Arabidopsis thaliana: one gene and its partners. The protein of the gene in region 1 interacts with the protein of each later gene in a pairwise test. Each region holds a gene or a part of one and is shown in the gene's direction. Other genes may lie near its edges.

Region 1 (4,660 bases):
TTCTCAAGATGGAGGCTAATCTCGAGGCTCTGCAGAATACTATGCAAGAGCTCGAGGAGAGAAGAGATGATCTGTTAAGAAGAGTTGTCATAGAAGAAGACAAAGGTTTGCAACGGCTTGCTCAAGTTCAAGGTTGGCTTTCAAGGGTTAAAGATGTTTGTTCTCAAGTCAATGATCTGCTGAAAGCTAAATCAATTCAAACTGAAAGGTTATGTCTCTGTGGATATTGTTCTAAGAATTTCATATCTGGCCGCAATTACGGAATAAATGTACTGAAAAAGTTGAAACACGTGGAAGGACTTCTAGCTAAAGGAGTTTTTGAAGTGGTGGCAGAGAAAATTCCTGCGCCTAAGGTGGAGAAGAAGCATATCCAAACCACAGTTGGGTTGGATGCAATGGTCGGAAGGGCATGGAACAGCCTCATGAAAGATGAACGAAGAACTTTGGGTCTTTATGGTATGGGGGGAGTAGGTAAAACCACGCTCTTAGCTTCTATTAACAACAAATTCCTTGAAGGGATGAATGGATTTGATCTTGTTATATGGGTTGTGGTTTCTAAAGATTTGCAAAATGAAGGCATTCAAGAACAGATTTTAGGAAGACTAGGTCTTCACAGGGGATGGAAACAAGTTACAGAAAAGGAGAAAGCCTCTTACATATGCAACATCCTCAACGTAAAGAAATTTGTGCTGTTATTGGATGATCTATGGAGCGAAGTAGATTTAGAAAAGATTGGAGTTCCACCTCTAACGCGAGAAAATGGATCCAAAATAGTTTTCACCACTCGTTCTAAAGATGTTTGCAGAGATATGGAAGTTGATGGTGAGATGAAAGTTGATTGTTTGCCACCGGATGAAGCCTGGGAACTGTTCCAAAAGAAAGTTGGACCAATCCCATTACAGAGCCATGAGGATATTCCCACACTTGCAAGAAAAGTAGCAGAAAAATGTTGTGGCTTGCCACTTGCACTCAGTGTCATTGGCAAAGCTATGGCATCTAGAGAGACTGTTCAGGAATGGCAGCATGTGATTCATGTTCTGAACTCGTCTAGCCACGAGTTCCCAAGTATGGAAGAAAAAATTCTTCCTGTTTTGAAGTTCAGTTATGATGATTTAAAAGATGAAAAAGTCAAATTGTGCTTCCTTTATTGTTCCCTGTTTCCGGAAGATTATGAAGTAAGAAAGGAAGAGTTGATAGAATATTGGATGTGTGAAGGATTTATAGATGGGAATGAAGATGAAGATGGAGCTAACAACAAAGGTCATGACATAATTGGCTCGTTAGTTCGTGCACATCTATTGATGGATGGTGAACTAACAACAAAAGTGAAAATGCATGATGTCATACGCGAGATGGCTCTTTGGATAGCGTCGAACTTTGGAAAACAGAAAGAAACACTTTGTGTGAAACCCGGTGTGCAGTTATGCCATATACCAAAGGACATCAATTGGGAAAGTTTGAGAAGGATGTCTTTGATGTGCAATCAGATTGCAAATATATCTTCTAGTTCCAACTCTCCCAACCTCTCAACTCTATTACTCCAGAATAACAAGTTGGTGCATATATCATGTGACTTTTTTAGGTTTATGCCAGCACTCGTGGTCTTGGATCTTTCGAGGAACTCGAGTCTCTCTAGCTTGCCGGAAGCAATTTCTAAGTTAGGTTCCTTGCAATATATCAACTTATCAACAACAGGGATAAAATGGTTGCCAGTTAGTTTTAAGGAGTTGAAGAAATTAATCCATTTGAATCTGGAGTTTACTGATGAACTTGAAAGTATTGTTGGGATAGCTACAAGCCTACCAAACCTGCAAGTGTTGAAATTGTTTTCTTCTCGTGTTTGTATTGATGGCAGTTTAATGGAAGAGTTACTACTCTTGGAGCACTTGAAGGTTTTAACAGCAACTATAAAGGACGCCTTGATTTTGGAAAGTATACAAGGAGTGGACCGATTGGTGAGTAGTATTCAAGCTTTATGTCTCAGAAATATGTCAGCACCGGTTATAATATTGAACACGGTAGCTCTGGGTGGTCTTCAACACCTTGAAATCGTGGGCTCCAAAATCTCAGAGATAAAGATAGATTGGGAAAGAAAAGGAAGAGGGGAGCTTAAATGTACAAGTTCTCCTGGCTTTAAGCACCTCTCTGTTGTTGAAATATTCAATTTGGAAGGTCCAAGGGATTTAACATGGCTGTTGTTTGCTCAAAACCTCAGGCGTCTATCTGTGACGCTGTCATTAACCATAGAAGAGATAATAAACAAGGAGAAAGGAATGAGTATTACCAATGTGCATCCAAATATCGTTGTTCCGTTTGGGAAGCTGGAATTCCTTGAAGTAAGGGGTTTGGATGAGTTAAAGAGAATCTGCTGGAATCCCCCGGCTCTTCCAAACCTGAGACAATTTGATGTACGAAGCTGCCTTAAGCTACCGGAAGCTGCCACTGAGTTTCCGCGACATGCCAATGAATAATGGGAGGACGGTGCTCCGGTGCTAGCTGATGGTTTCTGGCTTATGTACTAGTTTTGGAGAATGAAGCTATCGCAGATCGCAGATGTACTGCTTTTCTATCTCCCTCATTCTTGCTTGATTTGACACTCTCTGTTTGACTATATCCTTTCACTTCTTGATTTGGTTTCTGTTTGTGCACTGCTTTTGTTCCCGATTAACTTGTTTTCAAAGTTTTGAAAGACTATTTCCTTTTTCAGTTTTCACTTGTATTTTGTTTTTGTCTAATAAGTTCAAAAAATTCCAAGTGCGTTATCATTCTCTCTTTACTCTAATCTCTCTGAGTTTATTACTTTAAAAGGTTTCCTAATCTTTGTAACGCGGAAAACCGTTTTTAGCCTTCCAGTAAGAACACTAGATGGAGACGCAATTTCATGGCGGCGATGGAGAAGATCCTTGGCTAGCTCGAGACAAACTATACCATGTAATATTCTGCTTCTCAATCTCTCTTATCTTCTCTACTCTCGCCTCTTTCTCCCGCTACTCCTTTCTACGCCGTCACTCCATCTGGATCGGATCTGCTTTCTCACTCGCCGCCGGTGCGGCTAAAGAAGCTGCCGATCAAATTGGTATCTTCCCTTCCGCAGGTGCTTCCGTTAGAGACGCCGTCGCGGACGCCATTGGAGTTGTGATAGCTGCTTTGGTTCTCCTCCTCTGGAAATCTCGAAGATCACGTACCCGACCCATCCTTCCGATTTGAATCTTCTTTCTTATTGCTGCCGATTCGATTCACAGTAGAAAATATTCCGTTGAAGCTTGTCAGTGTTGTATCCACGGATAATCTCGCAATTTTTATCAAAAGTTTGATCATCACAAAATTTTGGTAATCAGTCTCCTTTGATTTTACTTGTTGAAATGAAAACATGCAACAAACAGTTTATGAGAGTATTGTTGATTCAAGTAAATCAGTTTTGAATAAAACTGTACTCAGATTATTGCTGCTAAAGTATATGATTCATGAAATCTGAAATTTTGAATTAGTTCAGTGTTTAGGCTCAATATCAAATATTCGTTTTCGCCATTTGCTCATTCATTGTGAAGATCAAGGAGAGAAACATTTGGCCTGCTTGAAACATCACATCAAAATTTGAAAACCAACAAAATTGAAAAGATTATGATGTCCAAGACCAAGACCAAAATGAATTTTGGTCAAACATGAGTCAAACATGATTTTTTTTCTTTTTCTTTTTCTTTCATCAATGTGTTTTTAGTCGTTATCTTTAATATTGCTTTTTCCTAACTCTCCTTCTATTGGCGCATTTATTTTTTCTGAATCCTAATTCATTTTTTTTTTGTTCTTAAATTAATTCCAATTTCCAAGTCCTCTTCATCTTTATTGCTTTTTTTATTCCCTAACTCTTGTTTTATTGGCATAGAAATTTTCTTCGGATCCTCCTCACTGTCTCTCTATACTCCACTCTTCATCAAGCGTTGGGTCATCGCCGTCTTCCCTTTCCTTCCCTCTCTAACGTAAGCTCCAGATTTCTTCTATTCTCTGTTTTCTCATTGAAATCCCTAGTAATGATTTTCTCTATTCTCTGGGCATTTCGTGCTTCAATGCCTTTACTCACTTCTTCTTTAAGAAAATATTTTGGATTTCTCTATGTTCCTTATCATGCATGCGACATGCGTGAATCTCTTAGCTGAGTTTTGTAAATGCTGTATCAATTTCGTCTCTTTTGCTTTCTCTAGTTTATTTTTTCCTTAAGTTCTTCCCTAGGGTTTCTCTTGCTCTGAAGATTTCCATACTATCGACTCAGTTTGCTAGAAATTGAGTCTCTTTTGGGCTTTAAACTTTGCTGCATGAACTATCTGATGTGACAGACTCATTTTAACTCTAAAAAGTTTTTCGATTTCTTAGAGATTCTATTTAGCTTGTTTGGTGAATGCATCATCCTCTTGGTTGCTATTTTTCATTTGTTATCATTCTTTTCTCCAGGTAAAGCAGGTAGGATGAGCATTTCTGATGAAGAGGCTGAGATCAGCGAGTCAGAGATTGAGGACTATTCTGAAACACCCTACCGCCTTTTACGCGACGGGACTTACAAGGTGAAGGTGAATGGACAGCTCAGATGCCCGTTTTGTGCAGGCAAGAAGAAGCAAGATTACAAGTACAAGGAGTTGTATGCACATGCTACTGGGGTTTCCAAAGG
Region 2 (4,739 bases), on another chromosome or scaffold:
TTGCTTGGATCAACCAACCTCGTGGATTCTGAAACTTTGTGAATCTTGTTTCACGTTTTTTTCCATCAAATTTATAATTTTGATAAATTTGGAATCCAAATTTCAGAGTATGGCCGAAGAGAAGATGGCCGGAGAGGTTTCAAGAGATATCCATTAAAATCCAAGAGCGGTGAAAGTGAGAATAGGCGTTTTTGTGACGAGTCGAGAAGAAGAAAATTCGATCTCGGAACAGTAGAAAAGTAGCTCGCGGGAAAGATATCGGAAATGTTGCCGTTTCGGTGGTGGAAGGCATTGCGGCGATGGCGTCGTCAGATTGTGGTGACAAAGACAAATCGAAATTGAGGAAATTGGGAAATTGCGAAAACCGGGTCCACGGAGAATACGGAATGTCGACCACAGTGGATTATTGGTCGGTGAAATTAAACACGTATAATAAAATTAAAATAAAAGCTCAAAAAGTGGGAAACCCGCGACAAGCTAACCTCCTTATTTGTGGCCACGTGTATGGCCACCATCTCACTTCGTTGATGAATGTCTAGTAATGCCTAGTAAGAAACCAACATATATTATTCAATTTAAAAATATATGTATTTAATATTTTACATTAACTATAATATTTAAATAGTAATTCAGATTAATATTAATATTAATAAAATAAATAAATTCTTATCGAGACAAATTTAACGGAACGAATTTTAAAAATAATATTAATAAAAAAATTAAAATATCATTAATATATTGTTTTAATATAGTTTAAGTTTTAAATTTATTATTTTTTGATACTATCAATATTATACATATAAATCAGTCTGATTTACAAAAATTATATAAAATAAAATATATATAGTAATATAATGTTTTTAGTAACAATTAAATTATAAAATATAAATATCTCAGAAAATGATATAATTTAAAAACTTATATATAATAAATAATTTTTAATTTTAATATTTTTATTAAATATTACATGAGATGAGTTAAGAGATTACAAGACGGTTTATATTGTGGAACGGATTATAGTAGATGAGTTTGAATCAATATTTATAAATTTTTAAAATATCAGTAATATGCTGGTTTAATACGAATTAAATCCTCAAGTTTTAATTATTGTTCTTAAATTCGTGGTATATGTTACTTAATAACAATCGTAAACAAAACAAAAAAAATATTATATAAAGATAAATAATTTAAAATTTTATATTTTATATATATATATATATATTAGAAAAAAAAATTATCATGCGGTATATTACGGATTTAAAATCTGGTTTTATAATATACACCTCCCAATCAAAACAAATTTTACAACTACACCAAAATATTTGTCCCTAATTATTTTGAGACCTTAAAATCTTACAATGTAAAATTTGGTAGGGGCCTTAAATTATTATTTTTTTTCTTTCTAACAATATCCACACGCTTTTATGCCGACATGGTCCAGGTGTTTTCAAACTACATATTTTATTATTTTTCGTCAACCGTGAAATAACTATTTTATATTTCCTAGAATTTTTGGTAAACTGAATAAAAAATATAAAAAAATGCAAGTAACGACGGAAGAAATCATAAAGTAATAAGAAAATAATTTAAAAGAATGGGTACATGCGTCAAGCCATGACATTAACAAACAAACCGAAAAAAGAAAAAAACTCATCTTTCTCCAAAATCACACAAATCTTCTTTATTTGTTATTCTCAATCCTTCCTTCATCCCCAGGTTTCTTTCGATTCGTTGAGTCATTCAATTTTTCCATCACTGGGTTTTTCTCTCTGAATCCGATCGGAGAATCCAGTCGATTACTAATCTAGCGCTCTCTTTTTTTCTACTCGATGACTTATCACGAAGAAGACGATACAGTTTCTGAATTTCGAGTTAGAGTTGAAGAAGATGGAGTTGATAAATTAGGTCATTATGTTAAACTTACTGAAGATTTCGAAGTACATCGACAAGAAACAGAACAAGAATCTTCATCATCACCGTCTTCTTCTTCTTCATGTGGACAGAAACGATCTGTTTGGTTTTGGATCAAGCTTGGTCTTTTCTTCACTTTTCTAACTGCTTTGGGTCTCGCTGGTTACAAATGGCTATACCCTTTAATCATGGATAAGGTTTTCAATTTCCTCCAATGATTTCTTGTTGAATTGATCTTCTTCTGAAAGTCTTCTTCTTTATCTATTGGGTTTGATTATAGTTTCAACTACTGAATTAGATCCTTAGTGTATAAAAGAGGTTCCTTTATGATTTTGGTTCATGTGAATTGAAACTATGTATCCCTACGATTAGCTCAGTATCCAATAACCAAAGTGAGGTTTCGTTGTTGATGTTCTGTGTCTAAAATCGGTAGATTTTCGATGCTGGTGACAAATTCAGTCAGTGACATATTTGGCTCTGTTGCTGATTATGGGATTATCCATTTAACTTTTGTTTGCAGGAGCTAATCCCACTCATAAAATGGGAGATGGAGACATTTACACACCCTGTGTGCGGTATTCTTGTGTTTGCATCAGTCTCTTTATTCCCTGTGATACTTATTCCAACTACGCCGTCAATGTGGGTGGCTGGGATTACATTTGGTTATTTCTATGGCCTTCTCCTTACTCTTCCAGCTGTAGCTATTGGTGTTTCACTTCCTTACTTCATCAGCTATCTCTTCCTCAACAAAATTCAAGTATGTGTCTCGCTTAAGAACCAGTTATATTCTTAGTAACGACTACTTTGTATGTTGCTGAAATTGATGAATGTTGCAGGGTTGGTTAGAAAGATATCCAGATCAAGCTGCAATGTTGAGAGCTGCTGGTGGAGGCAGTTGGTTTCATCAGTTTCGTGCAGTTACCTTAATCCGGATTTCTCCATTTCCTTTTGCTGTATATAATTACTGCGCTGTTGCAACTCGTGTGAAGTTCGGTCCTTACATGGCTGGTTCTCTCGTAGGCATGGCGCCGGAGATTTTTGTCGCAATTTATACGTAAGTGTGGAAATGACTTACAATTTTCTTGGTAATGAATGAATGATTGATTTAGCATCCTGATAGTATTTTTGTTTGTTTTGGTGTTTGCAGAGGGATTCTTATAAGGACATTGGCAGATGCATCCACTGCGGAACAAAAGGGTCTCTCGATTCTTCAAATTGTTCTCAACATTTTTGGTTTTGTAGCAACTGTTGTGACAACTGTTCTCATCACTAAGTATGCGAAAAGACAGCTTGAAGTTATGAAGAAGGAGAAGGAAGCTTTGTTGTTACAGTAATGGAGACAACAACCTCAGAAGTTATGTCTCTGCTTATTCCCAAAGTACAGGTTTTCGTCCATGATGTGAAAGAACTCTTGATTTTTGGTCTCTGTTTTGGTTTGTTTATAGCCGAGAAATGAAAGGGTATAAAAGAAATTATAATGACTATATAAACACTAACTAAACTCTCTAACACGATTTAATCTTATTTGCGTTTTCTCAATCTTTTGTTTTTTGATGTTTGAAAAGAATGGATCAATTGAAAACTTAAGATCATTACTCCTCCTTCGTTTTCTCGTTTATATTCTCTAGTAAGTATGAACTAACTATGAAGATTGGAAATTGTCTAATTGGTAAATAGTGCAAGTGTTGTGTCAGATATTCGTAGGTGACTAGTGAAAACTTGCACTTCGAATATTATGGGCTGCATTGAGAAAAAGCCCAATATAGCTTAGATGGCCATTTAATTGTTTCTATCAAAATCAAATGCGTCTCTTTTTCGAACTATAATGGTCAAGAGTTATTTGTAGCCTACGAGTACGACATTGCTATGCGTTCGACATATTAAATGGTGGAATTGAAGAAGAAACCTTAGCTATGATTCATCACAATATGTATGATCTATATTTTTTCAATTTGAAATAATGGAGTTATTCTAGACCAAATCGAATCTTTTGTTAAATGGATTTCTACTAAAATTAATCAAAGACTGTTTTAATTACCATTTTTTTTTTTTTGCGGTTTGTGAAACCAGTGTGAATCTGCCCAAGTGAAGAGTGCGAGAGATAAGAGGAGAAGAACTATATGGAGAGTTCTTGGGGATTTGAAGCTGCGGTTTTTCTAGTATCGGATTTGGACATCTATATTCTGCTTGAAAATTCACACTAGAAAATGAAGTGCTTCTGCGAGTCATTTGTCTCTTGCATAAGATACAAAGTGGAATTGAAATAACTTTATGTGAAATATATATAATTCTAAAATATGAAGCTAAATATAAACCAATTTTCTACATAAGCTTTTTCAAATTTTAAAGATATACTTACAAGAATCGATCAATAATTGATTCAGTTTTTTTATTTTTTTTTATTTTTATACTGGTGCATTTGAAGCTCTCCTAAGTCCTATAACACAACAAATATGTTCAACTACTCTCATCCCGAAATAAATGTTGTCTTAATTCCCTTCAAAAATGCTTTTGGTCCAAAACCCAATATCCTTTGAAACACTTTTGTCTAAAAGTATATGTAAAGCCATTTACATTTTGTCCTACCTATGAACCACAAAATTAAATATTTGTCTTATTCTCTAAATATTTCTTTTAGATTAAAGTATGTGTATTCAATCAGCAGTAAAAAAGTTACATGTCAAGACTTAATGTAGTTTGCATTTTCTGAATATTCTGGTTTGAATTAAACTATATATGCTTCTGACTCGGTACCACTTTCAACAGTCTATCTATGTGTCTTTTTCATGCGAATAAAATCCATTGCTCATTAATGGTAATTTGTCATC
Region 3 (4,579 bases), on another chromosome or scaffold:
TGATTGCATCATCGATCTGGAGTTTCCCACAGAAGATACCGAGGGCGATTACTATAGAGTGAGCTGATGCTTGGAGTGCATCAATGCTTGCGAGTTCACCATCATTCGTTTTCTTGAGCAGTTCTTCTACTGCTTTCACTAGCTTGTCGTCTTGTTTACCCCCGAAGATGCTAGAATACACTTTCGGTTTGACCCGAAACTCTGACTCTATCCACTCAAGTAGAGGATCAATACTCTCTACCTGAATATCTGCAAAAGACACAACTCAATAAGTGTAAAATCTAGGAGGTAGTTGAAATTGAAGAGAAAGTGTATTTTACCATGGACGTCACTAGTTAGATCATTATCTTCAGGTGCTCGGAAAAAGACGAGATCTTGATGTATCTTTCTCGATAAATGTTCTATGATCTTTGAACGCGTAAGAGGAACTCTTTCAAGTGCAGTACATGCTAGTCTCATAAGCGGCATTGTGAATGGTCTGATCCCTTCTGTTAGCTAACACAAGATCATCGTATTGATTGATACCGAGTCAGCTACCACACAAACATAAGTAGATGCAAAAGGATCACAAGAGAAAATGAGCTAGAGAACTGCAAGCCTAGTTCTTTAAATCTCACTTCAACTAATCGAATTATCAACCTATTGATCACATTAGAACTCAGATTGCAAAGTCCAGAAACCGATCAAACATTAGGGACACTAAAGAACGGTAAGCTCTCAGCTTTAAGTTGAATAAGCAATGAGCAGACCCAATTACAAGGATTCTAGCTAACTTAAATCAAACCCAGTACTGATCAGCTACAAAACAATAGCTAAATAGCTTAAAGCAATAAACTTTAGAAGTAAAACAGATCAAATTAGTGAAATGGAACAAACCTGATACTCCCACTCAGCAGCAATGGCCTTAGCAAGTGCCAAAGAACGAAGCTTGAGAGGTCTTTTCGAAGGGGTTTTAAGGGTTCTATAATCAAGCATCACAGTCCATCCATTTCCATCATCAGCTTCTCTAGTCGTCACTTTCTTGTAAAACCTCTTCCCTACGATCGAACCAGTCATGAAAGACGTCGGCATCGTCACTGAATCCGATTCGTTTTTCCGGCGAGAGTTCGGAGCTTTCACTAAGATGGGTTTCTCATTTTCCTTCTCGAATGTGAACGACGACGAAGATTCCGATGGCTGAGTATCGGAATCGGGTTGACGAGCGGCAGATGTCGTACATAAGGATCTAGCACGAATAGCAAGATTAGAGTTTCTCGCTGACTTAAAAGCTCTTCCGATTAACATCGCCGCCATTAATCCTCCCTCTCCGGTGACGAAAATGGGGACCTCCTTGCTTAGGGTTTTAGATCACATAGATCGTCAGATCCAAGCCTAAACGACGTCGCAATAACCCGGAGTGATAGTTAACCTCTACTACAATGAAGGTGTTTTGATAATTGTGATTATAATTACAATTTTATTCTATCTCATTGTAATCAGCTCTGTAATATAATATTTGTAAAGAATTTTTTGACAAATATCATTTGGGTTATATAGACAATCTTTTTTAAAAAAATTGGCTAAATTTAGTTTGTAAACTTTTCTATAATTTTCAAGAGTTACACTTACACCAATTCATTATGTGATATGTATTGTTTCATCCGTAAATTAAATAAACTAAAGTATTCTTACCCAAATAAGTAAATTTTATTACTCTAAATCCAAAAGTTTTGTTAATTAAGTGATCCGAGTCCCGAGAAAAAAATGATCCGAGTCAAAAATGCTGAAACTTAACTCAAAACGGCATCGTTTTAGCCGCCGGTTTCAAAACTTTAAAGAAAGAACGTAACCATAAAGAGCGCCAGATTCAGAGATAAGGCTCATTAAAATCACCTGCTTCACCCATCACGCTAAGATCGTGGAATCTTATATCACTAGACTCTCCCAGATCATGACACGTCATCATCTTCATCATGAGACCCATAATTTTTTGAAACTGTTTTATTTCACTCCCCAATAATATTTTCTGCTTTTAGCTCTTTTTAAGGCTCTTCAAAAATCTCCGTCAACGTCGAGAACAAAATTTGGAGAAATCGAACAGACGATCGAGATCGAGGAAAATGGCGTCGTGGAATTCGATTCCGCTGGAGATCTCGTACGAAATCGTTGGATGGATCGCGTTTGCTTCGTGGTCAATTAGCTTTTACCCACAGCTGATTTTGAATTTCCGTAGGAGAAGGTAATCTAATCTACCTTTTGTTCTTGAGATTTTGTTTCTATATCTGTAGTTGAAATTGAAATTGATGAAATCTTGGTTGTGTTTGGGAAAGTGTTGTTGGATTGAACTTCGACTTCGTGATGTTGAATTTGACAAAGCACTCGTCGTATATGATCTACAATGTCTGCCTCTACTTTAGTCCTGTTATTCAAAAGCAGTACTTTGACACTTATGGCGATAAAGAGGTTTGTTTCCTCTTTCTCTCTGTTATTCATTGAAGCATTAAGCATTTAATGAATTTGATTGTGGAATCTAGAAATGAGTTTTGTTTGGATTCTAAGATGGTTCTTGTTGGCTCTTATCTTCATGGTTACAAGTTTACCTTTACTTATTAGCTAATGAAGTCAAAATTGAAGATAAAAGTTTGTTCCTTTCTAAGTTTCAGCAAAAAAAAAACGCTTTAGATTGTTCGAGCTGGTTTAATTTTTTTTGAGTCGTTTTGTTATAATTGTTGCTTATTTCAGATGATACCTGTGGCTGCAAATGATGTTGCATTCTCGATCCATGCAGTTGTAATGACAGCTGTTACACTGTTCCAGATCTTTATCTATGAAGTGAGTAATCAAGTTTCTTAGGCTTGCCTTTGTCTCTTTATCCCATACAAGTGTTCTTTTTTTCCTGATGATTTCTAGTGATTTGCTCTCAGCGTGGACCTCAAAAAGTATCCAGACTTGCTATAGGTATTGTGGTTGTTGTGTGGGGATTTGCAGCTATCTGTTTCTTCATAGCATTACCTACACACTCTTGGCTATGGCTCATTTCAATCTTCAAGTAAGTTGTTGCGCAAAGCCTTCTGAACCAATTCTTTTAGTGGTAATCTAACAGTTTTGATGATAATGGTTTATTTGTTCATTGTTATAGTTCGATTCAGGTCTTCATGACATGCGTCAAGTACATCCCACAGGTCAGAAAAGATTCCAAACCTTAATTTTTTTCATTATTGATTGAATCAGCATTACTCAGATTTTATGTGTTTGCTTCACAGGCAAAGATGAACTTCACTAGGAAGAGCACAGTCGGGTGGAGCATCGGGAATATTCTTCTCGATTTTACTGGAGGACTTGCTAACTATCTGCAAATGGTTATACAATCTATTGACCAAAGTAACAATCTCTTCTCTATCACATCAATAGCTTTTGTTTTCTCTGATAATAACATTTTGAAAGAAAACTAAAACTATCTATTTCCTTTGGTTCTTCCAGATTCTTGGAAGAATTTCTATGGGAACATGGGAAAGACTCTTCTCTCACTTGTAAGAAAATTGATGGAGTTTTTTTTTTGGTTCAATTCTCTCTCTGTCTCTAATAAACGTCTCAAATTGTTTTTAACAGATATCAATATTTTTCGACATCCTCTTCATGTTTCAACACTATGTGTTATACCCAGAGAAGAAAGTCTCAAAATCTCCGGAAACTGGTGAGGAATCGAACGAACCACTCATTGATTCTTCTCATGAACATGTTTAAAGATCAGATTCTCAAGAGTCATTAGTTTCAGCGTTCCCACTGTATATGTTTATATCACAAAAAGGTACAAATGTGAGAACTCTTCAGATTGTCGTAATATCAGTCTAATGTATCAAATCAATTATCACAGAAACAGCAAATGTATAATACAATGTTCGATCTTGGGTTATATTTTAAGAAACAAGATGAAAGTTAATAGAGCACGATCCATTACCCATAGTAGTGCATCTACTAGTAGTCTTAGGCACAGCATAGAAGAGTTATATCTATGCAAGATCCAACCAAAGTCACTATGGTTCGAGGGGTACCATGAACCATCATCTTCTTGGCAGCGCATATCGATAGGGTCTTCTCTAAGGTTCCGTTTGCGTCCTCTGCTTTTTCTACCCACTTCTCTAATCTCCAGTTTTCTACTTGATGCATCGCGAGCTGTAGTGTACCCCATAGGAGTCCATTAACAGTGAACACCATCCTTTCTTGTCTTGTTTCCATACGTATCATGACCAGAAATTTCTATATGTATATCACTCTGTCATGACAAACTTTATTTCTCAAGTTCATTGATAATACATTTGGAACATGGAAATAACTTAAAACTAAGTAACTTACTTGAAATTGAAAAGATAGTCAAACTTTTTTTTTGTCAACTTCATAATTCTTCATTAAAAGTTTGCCAAAAAAAACAGTCAAAACTGTAAAACTCATTAGTTCTTTTATGGTAGAAAAGTTAAACAAAACAGTCAAAGTTTTTGAAACATTTATCAATAGTATTTTATGGAAGATGGTTAATATCATTTGACTACCATTGTAGATCATTAAAAGCAAGATAGCCTCTATATATATCTTAGTAACTTTT

Evidence for each region. Proteins that work in one complex are often made in the same cells at the same time.
Region 2: the proteins of AT1G15900 (region 1) and AT4G12000 interact in a protein complementation assay, tested with the Arabidopsis thaliana proteins (one large-scale study listed by BioGRID).
Region 3: the proteins of AT1G15900 (region 1) and AT5G40670 interact in a protein complementation assay, tested with the Arabidopsis thaliana proteins (one large-scale study listed by BioGRID).

Annotation. Positions count from the first base shown.
Region 1 is NC_003070.9:5,461,491-5,466,150, forward strand, and holds AT1G15900 (uncharacterized protein), read left to right. Parts: upstream 1-2,782; 5' UTR 2,783-2,865; coding exon 2,866-3,207; 3' UTR 3,208-3,457; downstream 3,458-4,660. Other genes in the region: AT1G15890 (Disease resistance protein (CC-NBS-LRR class) family), read left to right, coding at 1-2,471; FDM1 (XH/XS domain-containing protein), read left to right, coding at 4,461-4,660.
Region 2 is NC_003075.7:7,192,033-7,196,771, reverse strand, and holds AT4G12000 (SNARE associated Golgi protein family), read left to right. Parts: upstream 1-1,555; 5' UTR 1,556-1,829; coding exon 1,830-2,108; intron 2,109-2,431; coding exon 2,432-2,668; intron 2,669-2,747; coding exon 2,748-2,965; intron 2,966-3,058; coding exon 3,059-3,245; 3' UTR 3,246-4,239; downstream 4,240-4,739. Other genes in the region: AT4G12005 (uncharacterized protein), read right to left, coding at 19-66.
Region 3 is NC_003076.8:16,283,869-16,288,447, forward strand, and holds AT5G40670 (PQ-loop repeat family protein / transmembrane family protein), read left to right. Parts: upstream 1-1,842; 5' UTR 1,843-2,099; coding exon 2,100-2,218; intron 2,219-2,309; coding exon 2,310-2,442; intron 2,443-2,721; coding exon 2,722-2,811; intron 2,812-2,903; coding exon 2,904-3,028; intron 3,029-3,118; coding exon 3,119-3,161; intron 3,162-3,242; coding exon 3,243-3,360; intron 3,361-3,459; coding exon 3,460-3,509; intron 3,510-3,588; coding exon 3,589-3,723; 3' UTR 3,724-4,079; downstream 4,080-4,579. Other genes in the region: AT5G40660 (ATP12 protein-like protein), read right to left, coding at 1-249, 321-495, 877-1,293. UniProt on the Arabidopsis thaliana protein: Thought to transport cystine out of lysosomes.